Schizosaccharomyces pombe: one gene and its partners. The gene in region 1 interacts genetically with each later gene. Each region holds a gene or a part of one and is shown on either strand. Other genes may lie near its edges.

Evidence for each region.
Region 2: mutations in slx9 (region 1) and sce3 together harm fitness more than expected from each alone (negative genetic interaction), as found in Schizosaccharomyces pombe (one large-scale study listed by BioGRID).
Region 3: mutations in slx9 (region 1) and pom34 together harm fitness more than expected from each alone (negative genetic interaction), as found in Schizosaccharomyces pombe (one large-scale study listed by BioGRID).
Region 4: mutations in slx9 (region 1) and dph3 together harm fitness more than expected from each alone (negative genetic interaction), as found in Schizosaccharomyces pombe (one large-scale study listed by BioGRID).

Annotation. Positions count from the first base shown.
Region 1 is NC_003424.3:493,296-501,602, forward strand, and holds slx9 (ribosome biogenesis protein), read left to right. Parts: upstream 1-4,761; 5' UTR 4,762-4,875; coding exon 4,876-4,878; exon of another isoform or gene 4,879-4,919; coding exon 4,920-5,435; 3' UTR 5,436-5,732; downstream 5,733-8,307. Other genes in the region: dop1 (family protein DOPEY), read left to right, coding at 1-1,090, 1,128-1,320, 1,372-4,394; erd1 (EXS domain-containing protein), read right to left, coding at 5,989-7,110; SPOM_SPAC227.19C (uncharacterized protein), read right to left, coding at 7,822-7,953, 8,071-8,190.
Region 2 is NC_003423.3:1,772,623-1,781,793, forward strand, and holds sce3 (translation initiation factor), read right to left. Parts: upstream 4,348-9,171; 5' UTR 4,276-4,347; coding exon 4,272-4,275; exon of another isoform or gene 4,235-4,271; coding exon 4,224-4,234; exon of another isoform or gene 4,183-4,223; coding exon 4,092-4,182; exon of another isoform or gene 3,928-4,091; coding exon 2,867-3,927; 3' UTR 2,547-2,866; downstream 1-2,546. Other genes in the region: tif307 (translation initiation factor eIF3g), read left to right, coding at 401-411, 453-1,290; SPOM_SPBC18H10.05 (WD repeat-containing protein), read left to right, coding at 7,392-9,152.
Region 3 is NC_003424.3:1,792,313-1,800,553, reverse strand, and holds pom34 (nucleoporin Pom34), read right to left. Parts: upstream 1,541-8,241; 5' UTR 1,427-1,540; coding exon 737-1,426; 3' UTR 501-736; downstream 1-500. Other genes in the region: glucosidase II alpha subunit Gls2, read left to right, coding at 1-342; mrx11 (uncharacterized protein), read right to left, coding at 1,719-2,207; protein Mmc1, read right to left, coding at 2,674-4,254; poly(A)-binding protein Crp79, read left to right, coding at 5,582-5,702, 5,788-5,965, 6,057-6,531, 6,603-7,961. UniProt on the Schizosaccharomyces pombe protein: Has a role in meiosis.
Region 4 is NC_003424.3:2,853,488-2,857,408, forward strand, and holds dph3 (diphthamide biosynthesis protein Dph3), read right to left. Parts: upstream 2,208-3,921; 5' UTR 2,176-2,207; coding exon 2,133-2,175; intron 2,091-2,132; coding exon 2,029-2,090; intron 1,970-2,028; coding exon 1,835-1,969; 3' UTR 1,682-1,834; intron 1,604-1,681; 3' UTR 918-1,603; downstream 1-917. Other genes in the region: rpl4102 (60S ribosomal protein eL41), read right to left, coding at 303-309, 362-432; msh3 (DNA mismatch repair protein), read left to right, coding at 2,444-3,921.

The DNA of each region.
Region 1 (8,307 bases):
TTACTTTCCCATACAGTCAACTTTCTATAAAGATGTTAAGCCTTTCGATTTAAAGCTCCTCCATATGTCTGTTGCTTCTATAGTTTTAAGGAACGATCTATCTCTAAATAGGAGATTTTATGCTTGGTTGATGGGTTTGTCTAAGGATACAGAATTGTCGATATCTGATTCTTCAATTACTGTTGATGAAAATACATTACAGCAAAATATGGCGATATTTTTTGAAGGTGTAAAAGATCTTCTGTCATCCAAGAATAGCTTAATGTCTTTTTATAAAGCTTTTCGTATTCTATATGCTTTATCTGATCGACGTCCTTTATTTACAATTGTCGAAAGCCAGATACTACCCTGTGTATTGCATTCTTACGAAACTCTCACGAATGTTTTTCATAGAGATGATTCAAAGCATTTATATGAATCTGCCGTAGATCACGGACGACGCTTAATAATGAAGTTTAGCGATTCCGAATTACACACTTTTTTGTTTCATTGTGTCAATAAAATAGTTGCGAATACTACGGAAAATAGCGATTCTGCGGAAGCCGTAAAGTTTATCCTGGACAGTCAGAACTTCTTCTTTGAGTCTATAAATACTGAATATTCATTCATAATTTTCACAAACTTACTTATGCATCTTGAAAAAACGTCTCCCAACTCTGATGTTGATGGGGTTTCTATGACTATTTTGACTATTTGCAAAATTTTATTGAATAACTTCGACTGGAATTTTTTTAATTATAATAATTCTGCTATTGACAGTTATGCGAAATGCACGTTAAACTTAGACTCGGACTTTGAAAATGGCATATTAACTTATGAGATTTTGTATAAAAAATGCAAATGTTCGTTATTGTCACTGTTAAAGCAATACATAAAAGATTCTCATGTTCATCATGAAGTTTTATTAATATCTCTTAATCTTATCAAGGAAGCTTCAGACACCGAATTTGAAAATGAGTTTCTTGATCTATCCTTACAGGGATTTAAAGATAATTCGTGGAGTTTTCAAACCCTTGGTAGTTTTGTAAAGCAATTGCCATCAAGGATTTTGATTAACTCTACAGCTTGCGTCAATGTGATTTTGGATAGGGTAAGTACTTATGATATCCAACGTACTGACTATGTAGATTTGGTGTGAGCTATGTATGTTTTCTTATTTCAGAGAAGAGGAGCTTTTATCTGTTATTTGGACCCTCCAAGAGAAACTTCAAACTAGAATAATTGAATCGTACTTTTCAACGTGCATTGTGAAAGAGCAACTTGAGCTGAGAGCTCCAACGATATACTATACACCTTTCTATAATCTTTTAAAGAAGAGTGGTAAGTTTTTCTTGTTTTCTTTTCTTTTTTTACTGTTTTCTAACTTTCAAGCTCAACAATCTCTGTTTCATTTCGTTTTTGACAGGCCCCTATTACTTTTATTAAATTCATTATTAGAAGATGAGTCTGGGAGAGATTATACAGCAATGATGAATTGGATTAATGCATCAAGTTCTTTGCAATTACGTGTCTTGGAACTTATGACTGAAAATTTATTGAGTTTATCTCCCAATCTAACCAGTGTCAATTCTCTGGAAACGGCTATGACCAGATATAATATAAATGAGGACCAGAGAAATAGTGAAGCTAGTCGATGTGTATATTTTCTAAAACTTTGCACTCGTATAATTTCTTATTTTCAAGATCTTCATCCTAAAGAAGGAAGACTTAAGAGTGCGAAGCAGGTAGAGGAACTATGCCTGGTCACTTGGGCTGACGCCCTTTTGATTCAAAAAAAATCTTTAACTTACTCTTCATTTCTTGCTTTTTTAGTCAAACTGTGCTTAGATATAGTATTAACTCCTCAAAACATAAAAACGAGCACAGATGTGTATATTATTCAAACCTGGGCTTTGCGATTGCTTTACCAAATAACCTCCATATGGGAAAACCCTCTAAAATTTGAATCTAGTCTAATCGTTGGGTTGTTTGCGCTTGTACAGGAAGTTGAGCGTTCTCCTTCATCAACTTATCGAAGTTTTATTTTGAGTCTTTTGCAAATGCTAGAATTTTTACTCTCTCGATTAGATGGGACTATAGATCTTTCCTCTGAACAGCATTATCTGTTGTCCAATTTTGTTTTGGTTGGAATGTTGAATGATGATCCAGGACTTTCGCCAAAGTGGCTACATGCTATAAAGAAGCTTTTACCTCTTCTTTTACAAAACCTTCAACTTTTGATGGTTAATCCCATTCAATCTTTGTGCAAATTTGTTCATTCATTTCTTGACCAACACGAGTCTATGTACCTAAAATACCCTGACCCAGTAAAAGATTATGCGTGCATGGATGTTTTTATTGCTAAGTTGAAAATGCTTAGCGAGTTAGTTTCAGCAGCCTTATTGGAATTCACATATTCACCCGGCCCCAAGAAAAGTAATTTAGAAGCCAATGGTATCATCGGAAATGTCATTTCTGGTGTGTTTGCAGCGGAGTCGTCAGGCGTTAGCATCGATGTCAACAAGAGATTATCTATGCTTTTAACTATGCAGGATGCTTTGCAAACATTATTTTTATCATATTCATGGCATATTCGGTCTTCATATGCTGATAAAACGTCAAAAGTATTTATGAATGATTCATCGGTTTTAAAAGAAGCATCCTTATCGGGATTAAAAGAGTTTTACTTCTGTGAACCTCTTGAATGCGTAGAAACGCTGGTACAAATCTATTTGGAGAACAATGTTGAGTGTTGCCAGTGTATATGGGATATATTTTCATTTCTTAGTGATTCTGAACCTCAGTACATTGTTAAGCAATTAGTTTCTTCTTTTTTTGCACGTGAAGGAATAGCTAGTTATGCAGGGCCTTCTAGTTTGACAGCAAAGATTACACAACTCGATATTTTATGCTGTATGTCTGACTTCGTCTCCAGAGTGGAGGGCGAAAACACATCTAAGATTTTTACGGAAATTTCAAAATTTGTTCGGGAGATTATTTCTTCCTCAAACAGCTTTAAAAACTATTTGCTGGTATGTTTACGAATGCTACTGGAAGTTGCAAAAAACGTGAACACTTATTGCGAATCTCGCCAGCAAAAAGACTTTATTGATTTGATGGGGAAAACATTGTCCTCAGTCTTATTTCATGCAGGAAAATCAAGTGATCCAAACCTAACTGTAGATTTTCTGGCGTATCATAAAGCTGCTGCAGACACGTTTGAGGTTGCCAAAACACAAAAGAAAACTAGCTCCGTGTATTTATTCGTAAAATACTTAGATCCCTCTTTGCTTGACTTTTTCTGTTCTGAGTTTGTTCCAAAAATAACCGAGCTTTCTAAGGAAGAAGATAAACTAGTTGCTTGGGCTACATCAATCGTCAATGTATTTATAACTCCTTTAGTAAAGGCTAGGACATTTCCGGAATCACTCACCACTTATCATTTGGACTTATTGCTCGTGTTGAGTAAACATCCGTTTTTGAGTAAATCATGGAGGCGCGATTTTTGGGAAATTTTTAATGATAATTCACTGTTCAGGTTCGATATTGATCAATTAAGAAAGCTTTCTCCAGTAATATACACAGCTTTGTACCAAGAGATATCTAGATTAAATGATCTCATAACAAAATCTGATTTAGGCGTTACTACTTTATTTACATCTCGGGATACTCAACTAGGTGCAAGGCAGAGCAACATATGTCGGATCACAATATTAATGTTATCTTCTCCACGTGATTTTTTCCTGCCTAGTCTTCCACCTCTGATTGACCTTGTCAAACGGCTTATAACGTCTGATCCTGAAGGAGTATTAAAAAAGGACCTGTTTTTATTTATTAGAGCTCTAGCTTTAAGGACCTCTTCGAAGCATTTGCTTCCATTATGGCCAATCGTTGTTAGCGAATTGTTGATCATTTTTAAATCTTACTGTATGCCAAATGTTGCCATTTCTAAAGAGACATTATTAGACGCATGCAGGCTTTTGGATTTTTTAACTGCACTCAAACTTGAAGAATTTGCGCTACATGAATGGGTTGTGATGCTTAGTCCACTAGATGCTGTCTATTGGAGCGGAAAAACTAGCCGTAAATCCCTCGTACAAAAGGTTTCTGAGCGACTTCAGGAGCAAGCATCGGAGAAGGACGACAAATCCAGTGTTGAATCCGAACATTCTATTCTTACTTCAACTACAAGAACCCCTTCTTTAGGCATTTACACAACGGACGCTCAATTAAGAAACTTTTTAAATCGCATTTCTATAGACGCTTATGAAGAAAGCTACTCGTTTTCAACAATCGACATACAATCTTTTGAAAATTCTATTTACAGGGAAGTTCTTCAAAGGTTTTCTAATGCTCCCCTATCTCCCTTTTCTTCAATTAAGGCTCCATCAAGCCTGGCTGGCTCCAGTAATTAATTCATAGTATTTTATATCGATTAGGAAGTCTAGGCTGTGTGGCTTCTTATGTAACTTCCAGTTACTCTAACCTAATTATTTTTGTATGTATTTTCTTTTCAAGTTTCAATGTTTATATTCGGAAAATGGCTATAGGGTTTAGTTTGCAAATACTTTAGGAACCATGTTGGACATTCATTTAAAACTGCTTTAATTTATAAAAATTGTTAATTAATGTTGTTTCTTAATTCATTGCACATAAGATGGAAATTAATGTAAGTTAAGTTTTTCATTTCAAATACTAATATTATGAAACCAACTTACGCAATCAAGGGCAGTCCGTTAAATCCGATGCCAATAGTTGTAGTGAATTTTTAAACCAGAAAGCACACCGAATATTCAAGATATTTCACTCCAATCGTAAATATTATTTTGGTTATATATCCTATTTAACATTTAAAACGATTTTTATCGATTGATTCACAATCAATTTTATTTTAGCATGGTATGTTCATCCATAGATAAACGTTTGGCTGACGACAACAGCCAAAAGCAAAAAAAAGAGTCAGTCTAGCGTCAAAAGCATCAAGTCGTTTACCGTCTTCTGGTAAACCTAGCCAACAAGCTAGTATTCCAAATGTCGAGTTATCTTCCACCGTTACTTCGAATAGTCAAGTGCTCAACAATGATCCGCTGAAAGAAACAAAGAAAGATAAACGGAAAGACCGTCATTTCAACTGGCAGCAAAAATTTTCTAATCCAAAAATATCTGCTTCGGCTCGTAAGCGCCGGAACCGTAAAGCCAGAGAAAACCTGAAAGTCAATGTGTCTTCGATTGGAGAAGTACTTCCAGAAATTGATCTTGATATTTCGGTAGCTAACTCCAGGTTGAAGCCCGTAATTAAGGATAGTTTATCTTCTAAACAAACTAAGAGTTCTATGAAACGAAATACCGTTGAGGAAATCGAAAGGTTCCAAGCCATATTGAAGCACCCTTCATTCGTTTCAAATCCTTTGGAAACGGTACGGGAGCACTTAGGAAACTCTTTGGATAGTAGATAAATAGAGCATGCTCATGTCTAGGTAAATTTGGAAGGAATTTGAGTACACTATAAATGCATGATTAATTTGGGGGGTTTTCTTTGGGAGGTTCTTTTCATACTTACTGATTATGTTTTTACAATAAAAAAGTCTACTGATCTAGTTTGTTATTCAGTATGCAAAAAGAGAGCTTGATTTATTTATTTATTATTAAATTCATGTTTTAAACTTTTGACTCAACAACTTAATCAGTAAAAGATGGTGAAATTTGTTCAAACCCATTACGATTCCCATGTAACAAATAAAAGTATATATCCATAATAAAATTTTAAGTAACTTTCTTACTTTAAGTAAACCCAATTCAGCGAGACGGTGCCATTGTGTTGCAAGTCCGCAAATGACAATGTACTTGCAATATTAAACCATTAGCGCAATAAAAGAATGAAAAACATATTATATGCCAAGCAAATAATAGAACGGTAAATTGATACGCCCTAAAGAAAGAAATTTTTTGAAAAGGTTGCAGATGTAATACCTACACATATGTGACAATAGTAACTTCAATCATTTCCATTTAATCTGGATGTATTGTCGGGATGTCACTACGATCACTTATGTTAACATAGGCCAATGATTTAGAAGCTTCGGCTTCTATCCGAAAAAAAACCCAAACACAACGTCGGAAAACTTCAAGAAATTGCATTATAAAGATCCCAAAGTCGGTGGTAAAAAACGCGGATTGATGTTCAGGCAAAACGCGAACTACCCAGGCCATTCGCAAAACAAAATCAATCGCACTTACAACTGCAAATGTGAATGTTGGGAATAAACGCCGAACCCCAAATTTCCAGTTTTGGATTGATAACGGTTGCTTAAAAAAGGGAAGACTCCAATCCATTGAAACATCCCACCAAAATGAATAAGTTGAATTTATAGCTGAAGAGGTATTCCATAAAAACCATAGAAAGCTAAATCTTTTCTTTGCAAAAATCCCAAGGAATATCGCTGGAAAAGCAGTGAAATACTTGATAGAATTCAATGTACTCCAAAATTTATCTGATGAATTATCCGCAGAGCTTCTTTCAATCAAACATTGACGAAATCGGATAGCGTATGGATACGCTGCAATCATTGACATAATAACCTCATTTTCATATTGTTTTCTATGAGAGTTATTAGGTGAGTCAGTTACGTAAATCAAGATTGCTCCAGCTAGCCAGAGATCAGCAATGACCCTCGAGTAAGAAGTCAATAAATCAGAAAATATAACATCGGGAAATTTGTAATCAGGTCTGTAGCTTCCTCCCAAAATCCTTAGACACTGTCGAGTAAACACCTTTCTCTGGAAGAACCAGAACTTATGTACAGGCATAAAAACAATAACACCAAAAATAAAAACGGGGACGTATGCCAATTCATCAGACCCAGAAATCAAATATAAGGATTCGGCTATTACGAAAAGTAGAGTACCTAATATAGATAGGGAGAATGACAATTGCCATAGAGGAGCATTAGCTTGCTGTGATCGATTGACAGGCAACGGAGTATGTAATAATGAGAACACGTCGACCCTATTTATCACTAATAGATGTAATATCAATGTGAAAGAATAAAGACCAAATACGACCAAGAAGAATAATCTCAATACTAGAGGAAAATAATTGATAAAGTGATTCAAATCCTCTATCAACGCCATATTAAATAAAAGGGAGAAAATCTGAAATAATATATTAAAATAAACTTGAATGCAATTATACAATGGATGAATTTTTACAAAGAGAGACGCAAACAGTGTAAAATATGTCGAGTCAAGTTGTACAGCCGATCTTCTAATTATGATGATAAAACTTGACTCATAAATAATGAAAATTATCAAATAAAGGGTTCTATGATGATAGAGATTAGCATTACTGCTTGAATGTCGAGAGGTGCGTTGTGGAAATGAATGCAATAGGGTACACCAAGGTAAAATCTTAAATACCACCACAGCCAAGAATCATGTTGGTCTCTACAAAGAATGGTGGGATTTTACAGTAAAACTTAAAACATGAAAAAGTAAGGTGAATTTTTAAATATATGACGAAACTTGTGTTATGCTGAATATTAATATTAAGCTGACAATGAGTGGTTTGGTTTAGTAGCATATAGATGATGCGAGTAGAGCAAATGGGTTACGCTTAAAGTAGTATAACAGATTTTGTTGAATGGAACATCAAACGAATCAGGTTAGAAAATGATCGTAGATAAATTTGATGGCTCAATCATCTGATAACCGTTCACACCTCAATTTACTAATTATGCTTGAACTCCTTAAAAAAGTCTTGAAGTTGATTCACAATCCTTTAATAATACAGATTGACGGTTTTCGAAAAATGGAGAGCAAATGCTTATTCATTACTTTAAAAATTTATCGGCGCATAGCGCTTGGAGAATGCCGAAAATATTTGAGTCCAAGCCAATTAAAGAATAACCATACGAAAAAAACCACTGTACAAGTCAGAATTAATATACATGGATAATAAGAACGAATAGGTGAAACCTGTTAAAAATATTAGAACCAAATTTGTACAAGATAGAGAAATTAAAACATATTGGTACAATGACCCTGGCAGAAAATATTCGACGATGCCATTGAGATTTTAGCATCATAACTTACATCGCCATCAACATAAAGTGGTATCTCAACAAAGTTAAATATAGTCATAAGTCCAAATACAAATAAAAACCAACAGGTAAATAGCAGTAAGTATCCATTAGATACCATCGAACCCATCATTTTAACCGTATTGATAGGTATCTTCAGGCACGTTTTAAACAAAATATGATGAGTAGTAATTTAATTATAACCAACGAAACCTAACTAAATACCTTTTATAAAGAATCTATACTAGTT
Region 2 (9,171 bases), on another chromosome or scaffold:
AATTGAGAAATTTTTTAAAGAGCTTTGTACAGAATAATAGAAGATGATGGTATTGCAAAACCTGGCTATTTATAGTGATCGGTAATAGAGATCTGCAGATTATGGCTTCAACTGACGATTGAATTGAGATGACCGGTGCGAAGTTTGTCCTGGTTATTAACGATCCCTTCAATTTGAAATCCACAATTTCATCCGCTTTTTCTAATAGTAGCAACAGAAAGCTTAAACTAATTTAGTCGCAAGGTATCATCTCCTTTTTAAGAAAAGTTCAAGTAGTGTACTGCAACGTAGACTGCTATGTTGGTATATCAAACTTCTACTAATGTATGTTAATTCAACACTACAACAAATTTTCTGGTGATGAAGGGCTCACCCTCTTCAAACATCTTTTGTCTATAAAATGAGTTCATCGTATGTAATATATTTTTTTGTGAAAGAAACTAACAAAGTAGGAAATCACTGGATTGGGCTGACGATGAGGACTATGGTACTGGATTGCCTTCGATTCAGACGTTTGATAATCCCGATGGCACAAAAACCATGATTGAATTTCGCATTGATGATAATGGCAAAAAGGTGAAGGTTACCAGAGTTATACGGAAAACCGTTATTACGGAGCGGGTGCAACACGCTGTGGCGGAGCGTAAGAAATGGAAAAAATTCGGAAAGGAAGCAGGCAAGAACAGTGGTGTTGATGCTAGAACCACTAGTGTTGGCGAAAATGTTCAGTTAAGACTTCAACTTGGTTGGACTACTACGAAGGAAGAGGAGCAAGATGAGGCTGCTTTGGCTGCCGCTAAGGTTAAGGCAAAGGGTAGCTCTGTGGTTCGTTGTCGTGCTTGTAAGGGTAACCATTTTACCGCTCAATGTCCTTACAAGAGCATTATTGGACCTGTTGATGAGCCTCCCTTGGATGCTAGTCCTGTTTCTTCAAGGGCTAGTGGTGCCTTGGGCGAAAAGGGTCGTTATATAGCTCCTCATCTTCGTGCTGGCTCAGGGCGTGAGAGTGGTGATTCTATGTTCAAACGTGAACGTGATGATAGTGCCACTCTTCGTGTCACTAACTTATCTGATGATACCCGTGAAGAGGAACTTCGTGATTTGTTCCGTCGCTTTGGTGGTATTCAACGTGTATATTTGGCAAAGGATAAGGAAACTGGTCGTGCTAAAGGTTTTGCCTTTGTCAGTTATTACGATAGAGATTGTGCTATCAAGGCTCGTGATCGCTTGGATGGTTACGGTTGGAACAATTTGATTTTACGATGTGAATTCTCCAAGCCTCGAGATTAAGTTTCTTTTAATTATATAAAAATTTCTTGAAATTGGATAAAGGTCTACGTATATAAAAAATTTTCTTTTTTCTTCCATAAATCGTTCCCTTATTTTCACCCATGTATTCAGTCTAATCCCTCGGATTGTCTTAACCACCTTACCCGTTTCTGAGAGCTTTCATATGTTATACTTTTTAATGCTTGACATTGTTCAGGCTCTATTATCCCTAATTGCATTGGGTTTGGTAGAATGCTAAAATTTCCTTTTTTGGGGTTGTATCTGCGTAGTGATCGTCCCATGGTATGTCTCATAAATCTATGCTAAATTGGAAAGGATCCTTACGTTTTGTTCCTCTGCTTTTGCTATTTAAAAGAATAAAATTAGGTTTCATTTACTTATCGTTTGTTTTCTTTTCCTCTTTATACTTTTTATATTTGAAATGGTTGCCTCTGAAAAATTTTTGAAATAACTTTTAGTATTTTGTAGCAATATCATGAATGGTTTAAAGCTGTACACTTGCCTTGATGATTGGTCTTTTGGTACCTTTTTTTTCAGATTGTGAAACAAATTTTTACGCGCGAAATTAGATTGCTGGTGTACTTGACGAGTTAAGAAAAAATAAGGGTTTTTAAACTGACTAATTTTAACTATTTTAGAAAATTTTTTTGTACTCCATTGTTATAACTGCTCCAAAACCATTTGTTATTTTTTCAGCATGTAGTGCTACATGGAGAGTGTAAGGATTCGCAAAATCCATTAATGTTGTAATTTGAAGCAACTTTCTCGTTTGTGTCTTCATTAATTACACCAAGGCTTTCTAGGTTAAGCTGAAAGAAAAGCTAATTTTTTCAACTGACTACTTAAGCAGTTTTGACTTTACCAATTCGACTTTCATTATTACAACTTATGCTGTACATTCTTTTTTTTAATATCTATAATATTAAATATTTATGAGATCAAGCGAAGGCCCCTTAACTCAGTTGGTAGAGTGTGAGATTCCAAATCTCAAAGTCAAGTGTTCAAGTCACTTAGGGGTCATATTTTTTATAAGTTTTTATCCTGTGTTCAAAGGCATAGCAAGTTTTAAGAACACATTTGTCATAAAGATTTAACAATATAACTCTCATATCCGTTGAAATAGCTGGTTCACTTCATACGATAGTATTGACTTTTAATGACCATTAATCTTTGCTAAGACGGCAAAGTAATATATACTACTATTAATTACATGACAAAAAACAAACATACATCGACATATAAGTGCAAAACAAATTTTACTATAAATTTAACCTAAAACGACCAAGGCACCATTATAAGAATAAAATCAACGAAAAGTATGCTTAGTCAACCCGCTTTTTTCTATATGCAATTGAAACAGATGCAAAGCCGATGGGCGGAACCAGAAAATATCAAAACAGAAACAAACAAGAGATCTTAAAATATAAGTTAGCAGCTAATCTCTCGATTTAATGGAAAAGTGTATGTGTTTATTTATACCTGTTTTATTATATAGAGAACCCCAAAACAACGATATTAACATTACTTCCATATTTATGTCAAAGCGAAATAACATAAAATTGACATTTTTTAAGGTTTAGTGTTTACGGCCTTTGCCAATCTTCGTCCAACCCTCTTCTTCTTCTGCTTCGCCAGCGTTTGTGGCAGGAGCATCCTCAGTGGCAGGAGTCTTAGTCGCAGCGACCTCCGAATCAGTTTCGGAACTCTTTTTCTCACCGTCTCCTAAACGGATATCTGATACTTTCTCAGCAATAGCATCTGTTTTATCGGTCTTTTCAGCCTTATCAGCGGAAGGCTTTCTAGAAGTAGAACGCTCACGGTTAGCATTGTCCTCGCGACGGAAGCTCTGAGTACGCTTGGCAAGTTTTTCCTCAACACGTTGAAGCACGGATGTATTGTCTACGGGCTTGGCACCACCGAAAGGATCTCTTTTAGGCTTGGAAGATGTAGTAGTGGTAGCAGAGGGAGTAGCTTCGGTGTTGACGTTGGAGGAGGAACGAGGTTTTAAGTTAAGACGAGGGCGCTCAGAGGATTCACGTGGAGGAAGGGGTCCACGACGAACCCATTCACGTGGCTCTTCACGAACACGATCGGAAGGATCACGAGCAGGATCACGGAAACGACCACTGTTGGTACGTCTCTTGCCAAACGGAGATTCAGCAGGTTCAGCAGGAGGAAGAGGTCCACGACGAACCCAGTCACCAGTAGAGCGTTCTTCACGGGCAAATGAACGACGAGGCTCTGCAACAGTGATGCGGACTGGACGTCCCATCAAATCCTCACCGGATAAGGCTAAAGCGGCGCTCAAGGTATCAGCGGTCTCAAATTCAACATATCCAAAGCCACGAGAGCGTTCAGTGAGAGGGTCAATGACGAGGCGAATGCTAGTGACACCTTCGCCGAAAAAGTCGCCCAAATCGTTTTCTGTTAAGTCAAAACTCAAGTTTCCAACATGAGCTGTAAAAGGGGGTTCAGAAGGGATGGGAATGGCATCACGTTGGTAACCACTTCCCATTCCACCCTCGCGACGGCTTTCGGGAGGACTTCTAACTGACTCAAACGTGGAAGAAGGAGCATTGTATCCGGCGTCAGCAGAGCTAGGAGTAGCACGATACGTAGATGTGGTGCGGTCTTGGGCTAATAGATAAATTGAGTTAGCTAAGCAATTTCAAAAGATTAAATAGAAAAATGATGGAGCCCAAAAATGAGAGCCGAAAATTAATAGAAATTTTCGGATTCCTAAAAAACACCCCACTCCAATTCAATCCAAAATTTTCCATTATAAAAAACAAAATACTTACGCAAAGCTGGCAAATCATCAATATCATCAGCCCAGTTAGTCGAACCAAACGACTCGTCACCCAAAAAGGCGTTCAAACTCATTTTCGTACTCTGATATCGTTCAGCAAACATGCCTAATTACCTAAACAAACCTTTTTCGGACCTATTATTAATAACTCATGATCAAAAACACAACTTGCCCATTATGAAATATTTTCTTTTAGATCTTCACTTTTTACTAACAAGATCGTTTTCTTCGTCGTTCTCGACAGATTTAATATTTGCGATTCTTGGCGCGCTGGTCCACAAGAGCGTAGCCCAGTGATGCCGTGACTGCTCAATAGTAGAACGACTGAAGCATTCCCGCCTGCTGTATTTGCTAAGGCGAGAAAAAGGGAGAATTGGGAGACGTCTCTATTCCTCACAGTCATGGATAATGAGGATTAAATCATTTCGGTAAATCAAGCATGGAGGAATTTTTGTGAATGTGAGCATTATAATCGCATAACGATAAGTAGCGTGTTGAGCAAAGAGGATTGGATGGAAGTAGTTTTTTTATTGTAAATAAATCAATGGAAAATTGGATATGGAACCATTGTAGCGTTTGCAATTTGATGGAAAGTCTTTTTTTTGGGATTATATACTTGTGATAGGAGAAAATGATTTTCCTTTTTTTTTTTTGAAAGAAGTCCGTATTTGATGTCAGCTTTCACAAATCTAATAATTCCTATAAAATAATAGTTTAAAAAAAAGTTCTTGAAGTTCAATCAGAAAACAGAGATTTGATTTTGCGATAAACCAAAAGCAAAGATTAAAATTGGCTTTACGATTTGTTCAACCATGGTTTGACATTGAAGTAAATCGCTATTGAAAAAACGTATCATTGATAAATGATAAATGATTTATTATTGAGCTCGATCAACAAAAAACGAGAACGTTATAGTCTCAAGGGATGAATGATGATCAGTTTTGTACACCATTGAATTTGTTTTTGAGAGTAATAAACTTAAACTTCTCAGCGAACTGGACTGTTTGGACAGTGTTTAGACTTCATTTTTTGCAGATTCCTTTTCTAATATGGAATTATAACAAAACAAAAACACATTGGCTTAATTATAGGGGAAAGGAAAAGGAAAAGGACGCGTGCTTGCACAGAAATGAATCGATGTTTTGGATACAAACGTAAACAAGACAATAAGGTGGTGAAGCAAAATTGCAAGGAATTTTTCTAATCTAAATACGGCGATTTTGAAATTCATTTCTATTCAGCTTATCATCCTTTTTTCATTCACTGACACAGTATTATCTTTTAACGTTGTATGACGAGATGCATTAGTCTATGCTTAACAAGTTGTGTAATATGAGAGACAAGACAAGAAGAATTGGGAATTCCAGAATATGTGCAATTGATAATATCTACACGATTTTTAAAAGATATATCAAGTTACGAAAGTTGATCCATTGTTGGTACATTTTAAGTTCCCGCATTAGAGTTAAAGGGCCGCCGCTTCTGCCAATGTTTATCATCAAAGGCTGGTTGGGATAGTAAGAGAAAATGAGGATGATACAGTTTTCAATTGATATTCGGATGTTTATTATTTTATTATTATTTTTTTAGACAATTGTCTTTGATCTATATTCAATGTGAGCTGAGAGCTGAGTGGAGAACGAAAAATTTCTGAAACAATAAAAAATCCATTAAAATATATTAAAATCATAATAATGTTAGAAAAAAAAAATCGAAAAAATTAATCAAAGGGTTTCATTGACTTGGAGCAAAGATAAAGGAAGAATTTGAAAAGAAAGTAAAATCTAATAAAAGAAACGTGTGAATTTGAAATTAAAATGGAATGGTCTTTCTTTTTTTCTTGGTGGGACGCAGTCATTTATTTAATTACCGACCAGCCCTTTTTAACAATTAGATAACAAAGAAAACCGATTTATTTCATTTTATATTTTTTATGTCACTTGTTTTTTTGTTCAAATTCACTCTTCTTATGATTTCTTTCTTCTCAAGGATTCTTTATGTTCATTTTCTTTTATTTACAAAGAAGCATCCGCATAAAGAGGTATTGTTTACAACAAACAAATGGTTGCCATCCAGGTTGCGAACCAATCTAAAAATTTCATTCAATTCCTTTATGCCATTTCTAAATTCAATTATATATTTTAAAAAGGAATTTATAATTTAAAAGATTCTATAAAAATCGTGGCTTTGAAGGATTTCCCAACATGCTGGTTTCATTAGCCCTACACCCCCAAAATGTCATATTGACGAAGATCGAATCCTTTATTTCTAATTTTTTTTCTAACCGCAGATAATGATGAAAAAAAGAAGAAAGTAACATTTATAATAGTCTTCTTTTAGTTATAATCAGATTTTCTGCTTCGATTTTATTAATTAATGGAAGTAAATTCAAAAAAATGGATTTATCTTACTATCGAGGGATTGTTCCCTAAAATGCGTTTCCCGCTACTGGCCAGTCGTTGTTACCTTCTTACTACGACTATGGGATTCTGAGTATATATAATTATGACATGAATTAAACAACGGAAATTTAACCATTTACACTGCTATTGCTTTTTTTACTTAAATTGTGTGTTTATAACAGGAATTGAAACACAAATTTTGTTCTCTTGGTGCAGTCTGCGTTTTAAATTTCTTTAGCGGCAAAAGCAAACAGTAGAGAGAGATTTTAATTCCAATTCAATTTGAGCAACAGCCACGCCTTTTCTGCTCAAAATTATTTTTTTGTTAAAAATTTTCTTTTTCTTTTTCTTTTTTATCCTTTATCTATTGATTTTCATCTTTGGTTTTACGAGTGGTATTTGCTGGTTCAAATTTTAAGTGCATATACCGATTGATTGATTGATTTGTTGATTATAGCTTCACTCCATTCTTCGTTGCATCCTTTTTAAGTTTCTTTTTTATTTCACAAAAAGTCTATGCCGAAGTTCTGCTCGTGTTTGGTATTTCATCTACAGCGTTTGTGTATAGCATTTCCCAAGCATTCGACTTTCTGCGAATAATTTCAAAATTTAATTATCTCCATTTTTTTTCCTATCCACCTTTAATCTCCCTTTTTACTCGAATTTCTTTTCTATCTTGCTCAATAAAAAAATATTCCCTCATCATTGATATTATTCGATTGCCCAATCTACTTTGCGTTTTTATATCCCTCCTATTTCGTTCTTCCCTATTCTTTAATTTCCTAATTCCGCTTTGTTTGCATTTTCAAGACCTCCCTATTTGAATTAATTTGGGTATTGTTTGGAAACTTTCATATAAAATAATACCTTAAAAAGAAGTTGCATTGGAGATGCGCGTTTTGGTTGCTGAGACCGGAAGAGAAGATAATGTGTCAGTACATTCTAGAGAAGTGTCTGTGAACGGCAGTGATTCTGGTACAGGCAATGATGCCTACAAACTAGAAACAGACGATGAACATCCGCCTGCCACCCCTGTACGTGGATTATCCACAAGATCTCAAAAAAGACCCTTCAGACCTTTAACAATTCAACAAGATGAAGATGTAGAAAACGACACTGGTATGAACACCGAATATAATGATGACAATTCTAGCTTAGTTAACACACCCCGAGACTCTACTACGTATGCCGAGACGAATTCACCAAACACGGAAAAATTGGCCGGAAGAGATGATGATCGATCTCTACTGAACTTGATTGATCGTGGTGAGATCGATAGTAAAAGACAGAGACATTACGTTCCCGTCCATTGTAAACGAATGCCCAAAAAGGAGATCACACTTAATCAAAAACTTTACGTTTCTCAAGTTATAGGTCCGGCTGATGCTCCAAAGTCAAAAACTATTTTTGGCAAGCGAATTATGCAATGGGAGCCTTCTCAATTTAAAGAATCTGTGTGGGCCTCCGAAATTAGCAAAAGTGGAAAATATCTGGCCACCGCTGGTAAAGATGCAATAATTCGTGTGTGGAAAGTAATTGAAACACCAGAAAGAAGAGAAACTTTACTCAAAGAAGGTCCTCAAAGTTGTGGTCGTTTCTTTACCCCTTCTAGCATTTTTGAACCTGAACCTGTCCTAGAATGTGTAGGTCACAACGCAGAAGTCCTTTCCATTTCATGGAGCAAAAATGATTTTTTATTAACTAGCTCTGCGGATAGAACCGTTAGGCTTTGGCATCCAAAATCAACCAAATCCTTGGCGGTTTTCAGGCACAATGAGATTGTTACATGTGTCGCATTTCACCCGATCGACGATCGTTATTTTGTTTCTGGTTCCCTTGATTGCAAAATTCAGTTATGGTCCATTTTACGCCATAAAATATTGCATTGGACGGAACTTGAATATGTCGTTTCTACTATTTGTTTTTATCCAGACGGTGAGTCGATCGTTGTGGGCATGTTCTACGGATTATGTGCAATATATGAAACTAAAAATTTACAATATGTGTCCTCATGGCTAATTCATCATTCTCCCTCAAGAAATAAAAAATGCCGAGTCACTGGATTACAGTGCGCATCTATCATTCCAAACGATTCAAAATCCGACAACGTTGTTTTAGTATCTACTAATGACAATGCTATCCGGTTATACAACACGGTCACTCACGCTTTAGTGTTGAAACTGAGTGATGCTCATCGTGTTAATGGCAGAGTACTTTCTCGTTTAAGTGAAGACAACAGTTATATCATTAGTGGAAGTGATACTAATGAAGTAGTTTTATGGCATATTCCCAACAAGGTACTCATCAATGCATCAAGAAAACGCTCTGTCATTCTCCATTTGCCCACGGAAACATTCAAGGTTTGTAGTGAGAGACTGACTTCGACCATCATTGCACCAGCAAGGACTGCTGTCGAAGCTAAAGAGTCGGAACATGATCGCAGTTTAATTGCAGAAGGATACAATCTAGTAAAACCTCATAGTCACAGATCATATGGAACACCTCCTGTACATCCGATTGATATAATAATTGCTACCAACATGGCAGGTATGACTATTGTCTTGTGTGTTGATTATGATTTGGGGAATTCCCATCATGGATTTAGAAACTCAAAATTTGGACACTTTGTGAAGCGTTTATTACGAACCTAATCTCGATTCAAAACTAATA
Region 3 (8,241 bases), 1.3 Mb from region 1:
ACTTTGACCATTGCAGTGTCAAAGATTGGCAAGAACGCTTCTGGATTCTTGTACTTAGATGATGGTGTAACTTTTAATTATAAGAAGGGAGAATATCTGATTAGGCACTTCTCATATGAAAATGGAATCTTAACGATGAAGGACAGTCATTCTAATCCTCCCGTTTCTCCTAAGTATTCTAGCTCTCAAAAGCATTTGAAGGTGGAGCGGATTAATATTTATGGAGAGCAGACGCGTAAAAGCATCAAAATACGTAAGATAATCGATTCCGAAGTTACTGAGTGGGATGTCTCAGTTGATGACAGTGGATGCATAAGAAATCCACAACTTTTTTTGGTTTAATTTATTCCAATATTTAACGTTTATGGAGAAATTGTCATTTTCAGGTGCTTTGTAACGATACTTAAATCAAATCTGAATTACAATAGTGACTATATTACAAACACTTTAAATTTCTAAACGTTCAATTGATAAAGCTTAAAAAATATAATTAAAAGTTTTCTTCGATCTTATTGCGACTAACAATACCATGAAACCCATTAAGCAATTTTCTGAAGGAGTTAACGTAATATAAATAAACGAAAGCGTCGGTGAAATGAAGCAGTTAAAAAGAAATTCATCCCTACAAAGAAATTGTCCAGAACAAATGAAAGTATGCATGTAAGACAAAACATAGCAAGGCGCAGTAAGTTAGTTTATTAAGAACTTCTTAAAACAACCCTATAAATAAAATGTTTCAGGCCCATGTAGTACTACGGACGGGGGATTTAACGTTTTCAGCTTTACGGGAAGGGCTGAAATTTGGACGATAACGAGGAGGGGTAAGATGTTTGCCGGAAGTCGAACCTCCTTCCGGAAGACCCATTAATTTTCGCTGTAAAGGGGTTAGTTGTAAATCGTCGAAAGTAGGTTGTGGACGAACAAACTGCCAAACTGATTCCAACAGGTTAAACAATAAAAGTGCCTGGAGTATCCAAGAAACAACCTTTACGGCAGTGGTATTCGGTAAGTACCTATTCAAGAATTGAATACTAATAAAAGCAAATAAATTGGATACCATTCTGCTCCACGTCCGGTCTGAAGGTGCTTGATCATGAAGTCTCTTAGCTATTTTGTCTACAGCGGGGTGCTTCCAGTATCCACGTGGGATATGAGATTCATTTATGTTGTCTGTCCCAGGAGCAGGAATCGATGGCAGCTTCATTGAATTAATTACGGGTTTTTTATCTTCTTCTTTACTAGGGATGATATTTGGTTGCTGTTCTTGAGGTTTATGAAGGGAAGAAGCTTTCGGGTCTGTAGGTAAAACTTTAGGAAGTGTAATAGGAAAATTGGCTTCAGTATTCTTTGATGAATCGACCTTGTTCTCAGCGGAATCTTCATATAGAGAACGCGCAAAAACCGATTGTGAAAATGTACTCGCCATTATATTCTTTTTTTGAACAATTTAAAAGATAGGTTAGAAATTATTTTAGCAAATGTAGGTGTAAACGCGAGACTTAAGAAAATTCGAAGTGGAAGAAGTAACTGGTAAAATGTTAGTTGGAAACAAACGGACGCGTAGAAGACACCATATTATTTTCGACAAAATAAGCTTATTTATTAGCGAAAATTTGGCCAATCAAATTTGTACCTGAAGATACGCTAAATATGGGCTTCTAAATCATTTTGGCGAAAATTCTTATGTACATGTATATATGCCATTGAGGCGATTTATACTAACATACCTTGACTACAGCATAAGCAGCAGCACCATCAAGGAGAGTTTTGCTAACTTTTTCGAGAGGCAAGTTATATCCTAATTTGGCAAAGATGGAAGCTGCGACGTGAGAACCTTTTTGAAGATATTCGCCTGGTAGCCCAGTGGGCGTCCAATCGAGTGAATGAAATATAAAAAAGAAAATTGGTAAAGGTAGTATAGCACTTAGCTCATGTAAAAAAAGAAATGCAAATATATGAGAAAAAGGCTTATCCTTAAATTGATGTGCTTGCTTGCCAGTAATTTTTAGGAGGCGTTTCCATAGTTTGGTGTCAGACCGAATGGTATGATTCGAGGATTGTACCTTTTCCTGTAAGATAAACGGCGAATAATGAAATTTACGCTTATTCAATAAGATAAATGAGCCTTTTAGAGCTTGCAAGGGACTTCTAGATGGTATATGTAAGGTTTTAGCCAGACCTGAAATTCTAATAGTTGGTGGTAACATATTGGAGCTAATGAAGAATACTACAGTGCTTACAGTGTATAAATGTTAAGCTGGTACCTTGCGATTTTTTTTGAAATCTTGATTAAATAAAACTGAATGGATGCTGCTTAATTTATGCTAGCTAGTTTTACTACTACTGTACATGAAAACAATTAGAATCTTCCAAAAACCTCGACTTAAAATCACGAATATTTTTTACTGAAATCGCTAACTCTGCTGTAATTTGATTACTACATTATAAAAAAGGGATTCTTTCTCCAATATGTATTAAGGGGCGAGCAGTTATCATTGTTACACAGTTTTCCTTAAACAATAGGTTCGTATACTATTATTTTTAACAAGTGAAATTAGATAAGGTAATTAATTATTTTACTCCTAAAAAATGTTAAATCTAACTCAGAAGAAATAAAACTTCGATACCTTGTTACTAAATCAAGAGAGGGGTGATAGGTTAAGTCATAAAAGTTCATAGAAGTTGCTTTTTCGAGGCTGTAGGGCTATCCGAAAAGCTTGACTGTAGTTGAAATTCTTTCATAAGGTCCAATGTTTTCGTCAACTTTTTCATAATTAAAGAAATATGCTCTTTCTTTTCAGCTGCAGTTTTCTGCTGTACATAAAAACTAGAGCGCCCAAAAACGTTACGACAAAGCTGTCTTTCAAATTTCCGACCTTCTTCCAACAATTCCTTCCAATACTCTTTCTTCCAAGATCTATAGCTGGACTGTAAATAGTAGAGGCCGAAAACGCCACAAACAGAAAATACGCTAAAGGCGTTGTACAAAGAAAAATGAGAGACAAAATATAAATAAAGAGATCCAAGAGCCCCCAGTCCCTGAAAAGCAGTTGTGTATAGTGTCTTTCGACGTAAAGGTTGTAAGGCTTGATCTACAGCACTCATACGGGAGTTTTGAAATGTCCCAAAATCTTTCATGGCGAGTTCAAAATTATTTTTATCGTCACCGTTTTTCGACAACTCACCTAAAATAAATGACAATTCGAGCTTTGATTTTTGTAAGTACTCATCCTTTATTAATTGTTTTAGACTTGCAGGTAACGACTCAATGTTGGAATATAATTTCAATGTACCAAAATTTTTCCAAAACTTTTGAAGTTTCTTTTCAAACTCTTGAAGATCGACATCACAGTACTTGGCCCATTTTTCTATCGATATCAGCATAGAATTGCTAAATTCGGTTGCGCGAACGAGATCTTTCTCGGCTTTTGTTAGAGAAAAGGAGCAGCAAAGATAATTTAGAAAACGTTTGCATATTTCTAAATCACTTGTTGGCGTCATGTTGGTGCGTAGTTGTTGAAATCCACTTTGCTCCCATTGATTTTGGTAATTTTGAAAGTTGTGGGGATCATCCTGCAGAGCTTTGGTGGCTTTTAATGCAGCCGATGATGAGACGGGTATTATAGATTTTTCATTTTTTAAAAGAGAATGCAACTTTGGGTCAATATCGAGCACCAACGTGTCTGCAGTAGTAAAGTCACTGGAGGTCATTCTTAAATAAGAAGTAGAACATATATATCGAGCATGGCAACTAGCCAAAATATCAGAGTCCACTGTTCCCGGAGGAAGGTGAATAATTTCAAGATTATTGACTTGTAGGAAGTCGCTTGGAAGAAATAAATGTGACGTACTATACCTAGCATTTCGCTCAAACAAAGCATTTGTGCCAAACGAGATATAAAGTGGGTTTAGTCCATTGTGATCCATGGCATATTTCAATTCTTTTGACTCAGGCATAAAGGGAGCAGCGAGAAGAGCATGTGTGATTTGTTTGACACACGCGACATCTTCGGCAGAAGAGCTTAACGCCTGTAGCGCAATCCTCCTCCTAATATTCGATTTGGAAAGCAAAAGGGAGACATTTCCTACACGAATTGTTGCAGGAGAATTGTCATCGACTAATCTTCTCAAAGAATAAAGCTCATTGAGCAGCTTTTTTTGCAAATTGGAGATGATCTGCACATGTGGAGCGGTCGACGACCTGCGTATCGCCAACACAGAGCGCTTCCATGTTTTTATTCCAAATCTTAGCATAATTTCTCTGAGCCTATGAAAAACTAATCACAACAAAGGATCGCATATGAACCACACTAGATTCGAAAGCCAAAAAGGAACGAGATTACCGGATTTTAGATAGTATTAGTTAAAGTTCCAAATACACAATAAAACATTTACTAATAAGTTAATAATTCTTAAAACAAATACTATAGTGAATAATTGTTGTCTGATGGCACCCGAAGGTTGTATAGTAGTTGTGTCTATTGAGTAGTGTCGTAGATGTTATATCAAAATACCTTAACCCAGCAGTATAATATTCTTGGAAAATCATTGGATATTGTTAACCCTTAAATCTGTATATGTTTATTTATTTGTTCAGTCAAACAATCATAAAAACAAAAAAACAAAGAATTTTGCATTTTGTTAATTTAGACGAATTCATTGTTCATAAACAGTGACAAAATCCGAGGTTTATACAAGTATTTGAAGAAAACGGTATTCGACAGAATGAAGCTTTAAGTCTAAAATGGATTAGAAGGAACTGAAATGAGCTACATAAATTGCTCTTAATATTGGAGAACTGCTAACATTTATAACCTTTTTAATGATTACACTAAATCTTCACCTATTGCTTTTCACTTACTTTAATGGTCATTCGATTCAAACTTATTTTATCTAAATCTATTACCTTTTGCCAGTAAAATACTGTATAGTTAGTTAGCAAAGAATATAGGCGAGTAAAGCTCTAAACTATCATACTTCTAAAATCAAAGAAAACCAAAGAAAAAAGCAGATGAAAGAATTTAGTAACATCTGGATTTTGAGTAATAAACTGATTGACCTAACTTATTGACAGGTTGTGCGATATCAGTTGGTTTGCCAAAAACAACAATAATTGAAAATTTATGAATGGATTCACCAGAATATTAGCCTAATTGCTTTTTGATTCATTTAAGGAAATTCAACTTTTAATTTGAAATCAGCGAAAGCCGAAAAAAGGATGGTATGAATTTGAAATATTTTTTAATGCGAGCAGGTAATATTGACTTTAATAATAAAATAAAATAAAATGTCATTATAAATGCGATTTGAGGATTTAGTAGAGATATGGATAAAACAGATATGAACCAAACTGCATGAATATTAGGAAATCAAGTTGTAAATATAAAACAAGCATTTTTAAAAAAAAACAAAAAATATTACTCTAAAAATGTTAAGAGGTCAATTTAAGGTTTGTTTACTCTCATTTGTTATGGTGGTAATAGTTTCAGTCATGCATCATCGAAATGTAAACAAACAGCGATCCTATATATACCAAAAACAACAACCATTCCTTTCCATCACACATCTTTTTTGAGATAAAATGAACAATTCAAAACTCTCTGTCCCCGGACAGTATGAAGATGAAAGCAGTACTATATATGTAGGAAATATAGATTCCCGACTTTCTGATGAAGAAATCATCAAACACTTTTCAAAATATGGTATGAACACACAAGTCAAGGATAAAAACACGAGGAAAAACATTAGAAAACATAAATAAAAGCGATATATTAATCAATTCTTTAGGACAAGTAGAATCCATCTTTCGTCGATTACTTGATAGTTTTTATCCTAAGGAAAAAGCGAAACCTTTTAAACCTCCTAAAAATGGAGTGCAATATGGGTTCGTCAAATTCGTTAATGCTGAAAGCATTGAAGAAGTTCTAAAGGACGCTAAAGGAATGACTCTGGGCCAAAGAAAATTGTAAGTGACTGAAGGGAAAAATTAGAGACAAGCATTACAGAAAAAAAAATCGAAAAATCATTCTCCAAAAAATTACTAACCTAAAAAAAAGGACCATTAAAGCAAGAGTCGTAAATCCTGCGAAACTGACAGACAAAAAATTCAAACCTAACGATACGTCAATCACTGCGAACGTGTTCAATCCTAGCATCCAAAACAATACAGATGAGGAAAACGTTAAGCCAGGACTCAAACAGTCTCAGATTAAGGAATTTATTCCAAATGTCGAAGAAAGAAATTGGGAAACTGTGAGAGGCATAAATTCGCGTAACCCGAAGCCAGAAACAACGCTTACCATACCGTCTCTTGGTTTGGAAGATATTAGCATGCAAGTTGTACCAAATGCCTTCGCTTCTACGTTACCCCTTAGTATCTTGAACCTACCTGCCGAAGTCACACCGATTGACTTATATAACCACTTTAAACAGGCTGGTGTAGTAAAAGGGACGGCGGTCAGCCAGTTTCTTGACCAAAGAGGGTTCCGGTATGGCGAAGTGATTATGGATTCAGTTGAATCATGTCAAAATGTAAGCTCAATATGAAGAGAAAACCCCAATATTTGCATAATCTATTTCATGATACTAACCTCATTATTAAGGCAATAGAAAAATTAAATAACGTTCCATACAAAGGAAGCATTTTAGAGGTCAGTATAAAAAATAAAGCCTCTTCTTCAGTGAAGTCAATTCCCACAACGCCGACTGGTGAAAGCTTATGGCCTTTCCCATCGGAAAACGCTAACAAAACTCAAATAAATATCGAAAATGCTACATGTTCGAAGATGACATGGATTATGGGCTCACCAACTAAGGAGAAAAGCCAATGGGGTAGCGTTTCAACTACCGGTGTTTCAAATCAGCAAAATCATCCAGCCGCTTGGAACCCAGATAATAAACCTCAGTCAATCGTGCATTGGGACTCTTTACGTGAAAGCTCTCCAAGTATCCCTAATTCTCCTATTGACCCTTCAAATCTATACGTTAAAAATTTAGATGATACCGTCATCACATGCAAGAGTCAGCTGGAAGATTTATTCTCACCCTTCGGGTCGATTTTGTCTTCCATGTTAGCATGCTATCCAAATTCAGGAATCTCCAAAGGTTATGGTTTCGTAGCGTTTCGTCAAATAGAGGCTGCCGTTAGAGCCAAAGACACATTGAATGGAATGATGGTTGGGAAAAAAAGGATTTTCGTTTGCTTCGCGGAGCGAAAGTCTGACAGAATTCGTAGATTGCAAGCATTTTTTGCAAACAAACCTACTTCAGAACAAACAGCGCAGCAAGACAACAAAGCTTTGTTCGTCAAACCAGAAAGAAGCTCTACTGTTACCATCCGAAAGCCAATAGAGTCTTCTACAAACAAAATCTCTGAGAATCCCACGACCCTTTCAAGTAAGGTTGAAAATAAGAATGAGCCTAAGACTGGTGAAAACAAAGAACCCAGTCAGACAAATGAATATGTTAACTGTAAGCAAGAAAATAAGGAACTTAGTGGACAGTTATCAGGCAACTTGGATATAAAGAAAGAAGCAGGAAAATTGAGCCATGACGGAGAACAAGGAAACTTGTTAAAACCATTGGTATTCCATGCTAACACAAAACTAAATAACCGAGGGTCTGCTAAGATGGGTTCAACAGCCACCAACTTGAAGAAGATACAAGACATGCTTCACAACAAAAAGCTGAGTAATGCATACTTTGTGCCAAGAGCAAGAGCAACAACCTGTACAACTCTTACGTACGTAACAGTTGAGCCCTCACATTTCCAAGATGAGGACTGTAATGAGTCAACGAACATGCTTTCACTTGTCGGGTACATGGACAGCTATCCAGAAGCTACATCCAATATCCAAAAAATGAATTCCTATCATATTAAAGATTCAAATAAGGAAAATTTTTTATCAACAACAAAGGTTAACAACAATTCACCAACAACTATTCAGTTGACGCAGATTTAACAAGATGCGGTGAAGATATAACTATGAAACAAAATTCATAATGCTATATCCCTCAAAACTCCGATGAACAAACTTTTAACTCCTTAAAATATATACATCGTGAACGGATGGATTTGCTAGTATAACCCTACAGTATCTTACAACTACCACAACGTGGAATTTAAACGAAACCGTTTATTTTTAGTCTTTAATCAAAAACATTATAAGGAAATTTGATTTGAAAGATAATTCTTTATTAATTCGAAAGTTGACAGCTGGATCAGATTTGTTTAGAGATTTA
Region 4 (3,921 bases), 2.4 Mb from region 1:
CCGAACCGTTCATAAATGACACTATCCACTAAGTCCCATACTAAAATACTTTATGCTTACAGACGAGATAACACCATTAGGGTATCTATTTAATAATTCGAGAACAAAATAAACATGCTGCAAAACAAACATTACTACTCTTGTACGCATGATAAATATATATATATATAATTGGTTGATAAAGTGAAATTTTATTTGAGTAAATGTTCTGCGTCCTTTGCAAGCCAAATTGAGCTAGTTATTTCAAAGGTATTGCAATTTACTCATTGCTCCTTAGTGAGGGCGCAAATGGATGAGCCTATCTATTTACTATTTCTCAGTTAGCAAAAAATACAAAAAATTTCAGTTATATTAGACTTACGATCTGGCTCTCATCTTTCTTCTTTTACGTTTGAGACGACGCACGCGTTTTTTCCTCCATTTATCACGCATCTTGGCAGTGGTAAAAATGTATTGTAGGCCACATGTTAGATATACGAAAATGTGACTGTTTCTTTGGCTCTGGCATATGAGATAGCGTCGTGCTATATGCAATAACATATTATAAAAAGTTCGTTAATTAAGTTTGCTGTCAGCAATACTACACTACGCTATGATACACTACGTTGAGTATCACTATATGTCACATGTTCTAATTATATATCGTACCATGTATGATACGATATGGAGATTGATCTTAATGATAATCTATTAAGATCAATATTATCTGAATACTATAAATAGAGCTACTGCTGAACCTCGTTCCTCAGTTCAGTTATGAGCTATATTAGTGATAGGTAACATTATAACCCAGTTAATACAATACCTATACTCAGTTGCTACTTATACAACCTGTGTATTGTAATATAATAGATCACAAGGAAAACTCACCGCAGTTCTACGTATCCTTAAATTAGATACCAAACTGCGTAGCTTACATTTGCGTAATGTTTAAATTCCCTTTTAAGCTTCTAAATAAATTTGAGATTCCACTGTGGTATGTCGCACTAAAGCTGGAATGATATTGCTTTATAAGTAAATTGATGGAAATACTGTTAAGTAGCTGGCTTTTAGTTCAACTGATAAGTTTCAAATGCTTTAGCAATGAAATTTCAAAATTCTGTGGAATTGATCGCAACTTGGACTTCAATACGTACTTACGTTGAGCACAAGTACGAATTCATTTTAATTCCACAATCTTGAAACGAAGAATAAATTGAATAGCATTTATCCATTATTTGTAATAATGAAAACGTTTTTTTGAAAGAATAAGTTATAAAGCTATTTTATAAACTTAAACTCGTTTCGTAAAGTGTTTTAAAATTATGCGTTGTTAAAACATACGCAGAAATGCAATAATTTATCACTTAACAAAAATAGCTAAAGGTGGGCTTTTAGTTTCGAGTAAAGATTGTTATTTCCTAATGAAGTTCTCTTTAAATTTTCTTCCATTCTTCCCTTAATGTTTTGCAGAGGCGTTGTTCATTTTAATTTTGAAGAAAGAAAGTTACCGTTGAGGTGCGCATGCTTACGGAAGCTAGTGGTAATAGAAATTATTTTATAAGTAAACTGTATTATATGGGCAAAATAATCTTTGGAAAAGTCGTACGCTCAAAAAACTTGCCTAAAGTGTTGTTAAAAACTTACAAATTCAACTAAAAAGATACAGTTTAATTATTAATAGAATGAACAACAAACGTACTATGCCAATACAAAACCAGTGATCTGAGAAAACTAAACAAATAAATTTTGAGGATATCACGATGTAAAGAGTAGCCCTCCTATCCTTCGTAATTTCAAGACATTTTGAGAATAAATAGAAGTAAAAAACCAAATAAGAAATTATAGGGAAAAATTATGCTGCAATGATTATAGGTGCTGTAGAAGCATCGTTATCAACTTCCATGAATTCATCTTCATCATAGATCACCCGGACAATCAAGCTGCAGCTTGGGCAACGAGCAACATCTTCCCCTAATTGAAGATCTTCCTAAATAATGAATTAGTATAAACTTCCAAAATATTAAGAAATTGCGTATCAATACATACCAAAGATATCTCGAAGCGATCCCCACAAGGACAGGGAAAAGTGTACAAGTTCGTACCGGCGTCTTTTAATTAGCAAAAGTATTCAACTTTTAACAAATACATACCAAACGTGAAATCTTCTAACTCGATTTCGTCGTAAAATGACATTTTGCCGCTTCAATGCACTACTGGCAGAAGGTGCGTGGCCACTCCACCAAAAATTTGTTTTATATGTGGGAACCGCCCATAATGAAAACTACAAGCTAAGTTTAACATAAATGGAATCTACTGTAATTTAGAGGAGAACGATACTTACTTGTTACCGTTTTGTTGTATTTTTTAAAACGTCCGCCTATATTCATTTAGAAACTATAAATGCGTTACAAATCTATGTTGAGCAAATTTGATTGTACAGTTTTTATTTTCGCTTTATTACATGAGAGGAATGAGTTATAACATTACTCATGAATGCGACGCTATTAATATTCTATCAGATAATTTACATGAAGGAGCAATATCAGAAGATATGGTTGCCCTCAGTGGTCCAGCCATAGAGTTACTAGAAAATAATGTTGGTAGTTCAAAAAATAGCTATCAAGAAGATGAGGGAAGTTCTTCGATTGATGAGAACGCGCCTCTTATAAGCATAAAACGAAAGAGGAGAATTCGTACGGTTAAATCTACTTCAAATAAAGAATTAGTGCAAAGAAAAGCATCGAAACCTACTAAACAGAAATCTGTTTTCACACCACTTGAGCAGCAATACTTAGAATTGAAGAAAAATTATCAAGAAACTATTTTGGCAATTGAAGTAGGATATAAGTTCCGATTTTTTGGGAAGGATGCAAAAATAGCCTCTGAGGTGTTAGGAATTAGTTGCTATTTTGAGCACAATTTTTTAAATGCTAGTGTTCCCTCGTATCGTATTGACTATCACTTGGAAAGACTCATTAATTTTGGTCTCAAAGTTGCTGTTGTTCGACAAACTGAAACAGCCGCTCTCAAGTCAACTAGCTCTAGCAGAAACACTCTGTTTGACAGACGAGTTGCTCGCGTGCTTACCAAGGGGACTACTCTAGATGATAGCTTTTTTCGCTTTGAGCAAACACAGCATGGTACACTACAAGCTTCCCAATTTATCCTATGTGTTGCAGATAATGTTGATAAGAGCAAAGCAAAATCAGGAAGAGTTCAGGTTGGACTAATTGCCATACAATTATCATCTGGAACTACTGTTTATGATCATTTTCAAGATGATTTTTTGAGAAGCGAATTACAAACAAGACTTTCTCATTTTCAACCTTGTGAATTGATATATTCGAACAAGTTATCTTCCGAATCGGTTGCCCTACTGAATCATTACGTATCAACTGAAAAAACTTGCGGTAGAGTAGTGCGTGTGCAACATGCTGTTCAGCAGGACGTGAAACTAGCATTGGAGAATTTGCAGGACTTCTTTTCTTCTAAATGCATCATGTCCGGTAGCAAAATTATAGAATTACACATGGAAAAGGTGAAGTCTTTACATTCTCTTTCAATCATTTGTTTGGACATGGCCATTTCTTATTTGATGGAATTCTCATTGGAAGATCTATTCGTTGCTTCAAACTTTTATCAACCTTTTGATAGCATTTCTTCTATGGTTTTAAGTAAACAGGCTTTGGAAGGTCTTGAGCTTTTCGTTAATCAAACAGATCATACACCTGTTGGTAGCCTATTTTGGGTGTTAGATCGCACATACACAAGATTTGGACAAAGGATGCTTCAGAGATGGCTTCAAAAGCCTTTGGTTGATAAAGAAAATATAATCGAGCGTCTGGACGCGGTTGAGGAATTAGCCTTTAATTCTAATAGTCAAGTTCAAGCAATTCGTAAAATGCTGTATAGATTGCCCGATCTCGAAAAGGGTCTGTC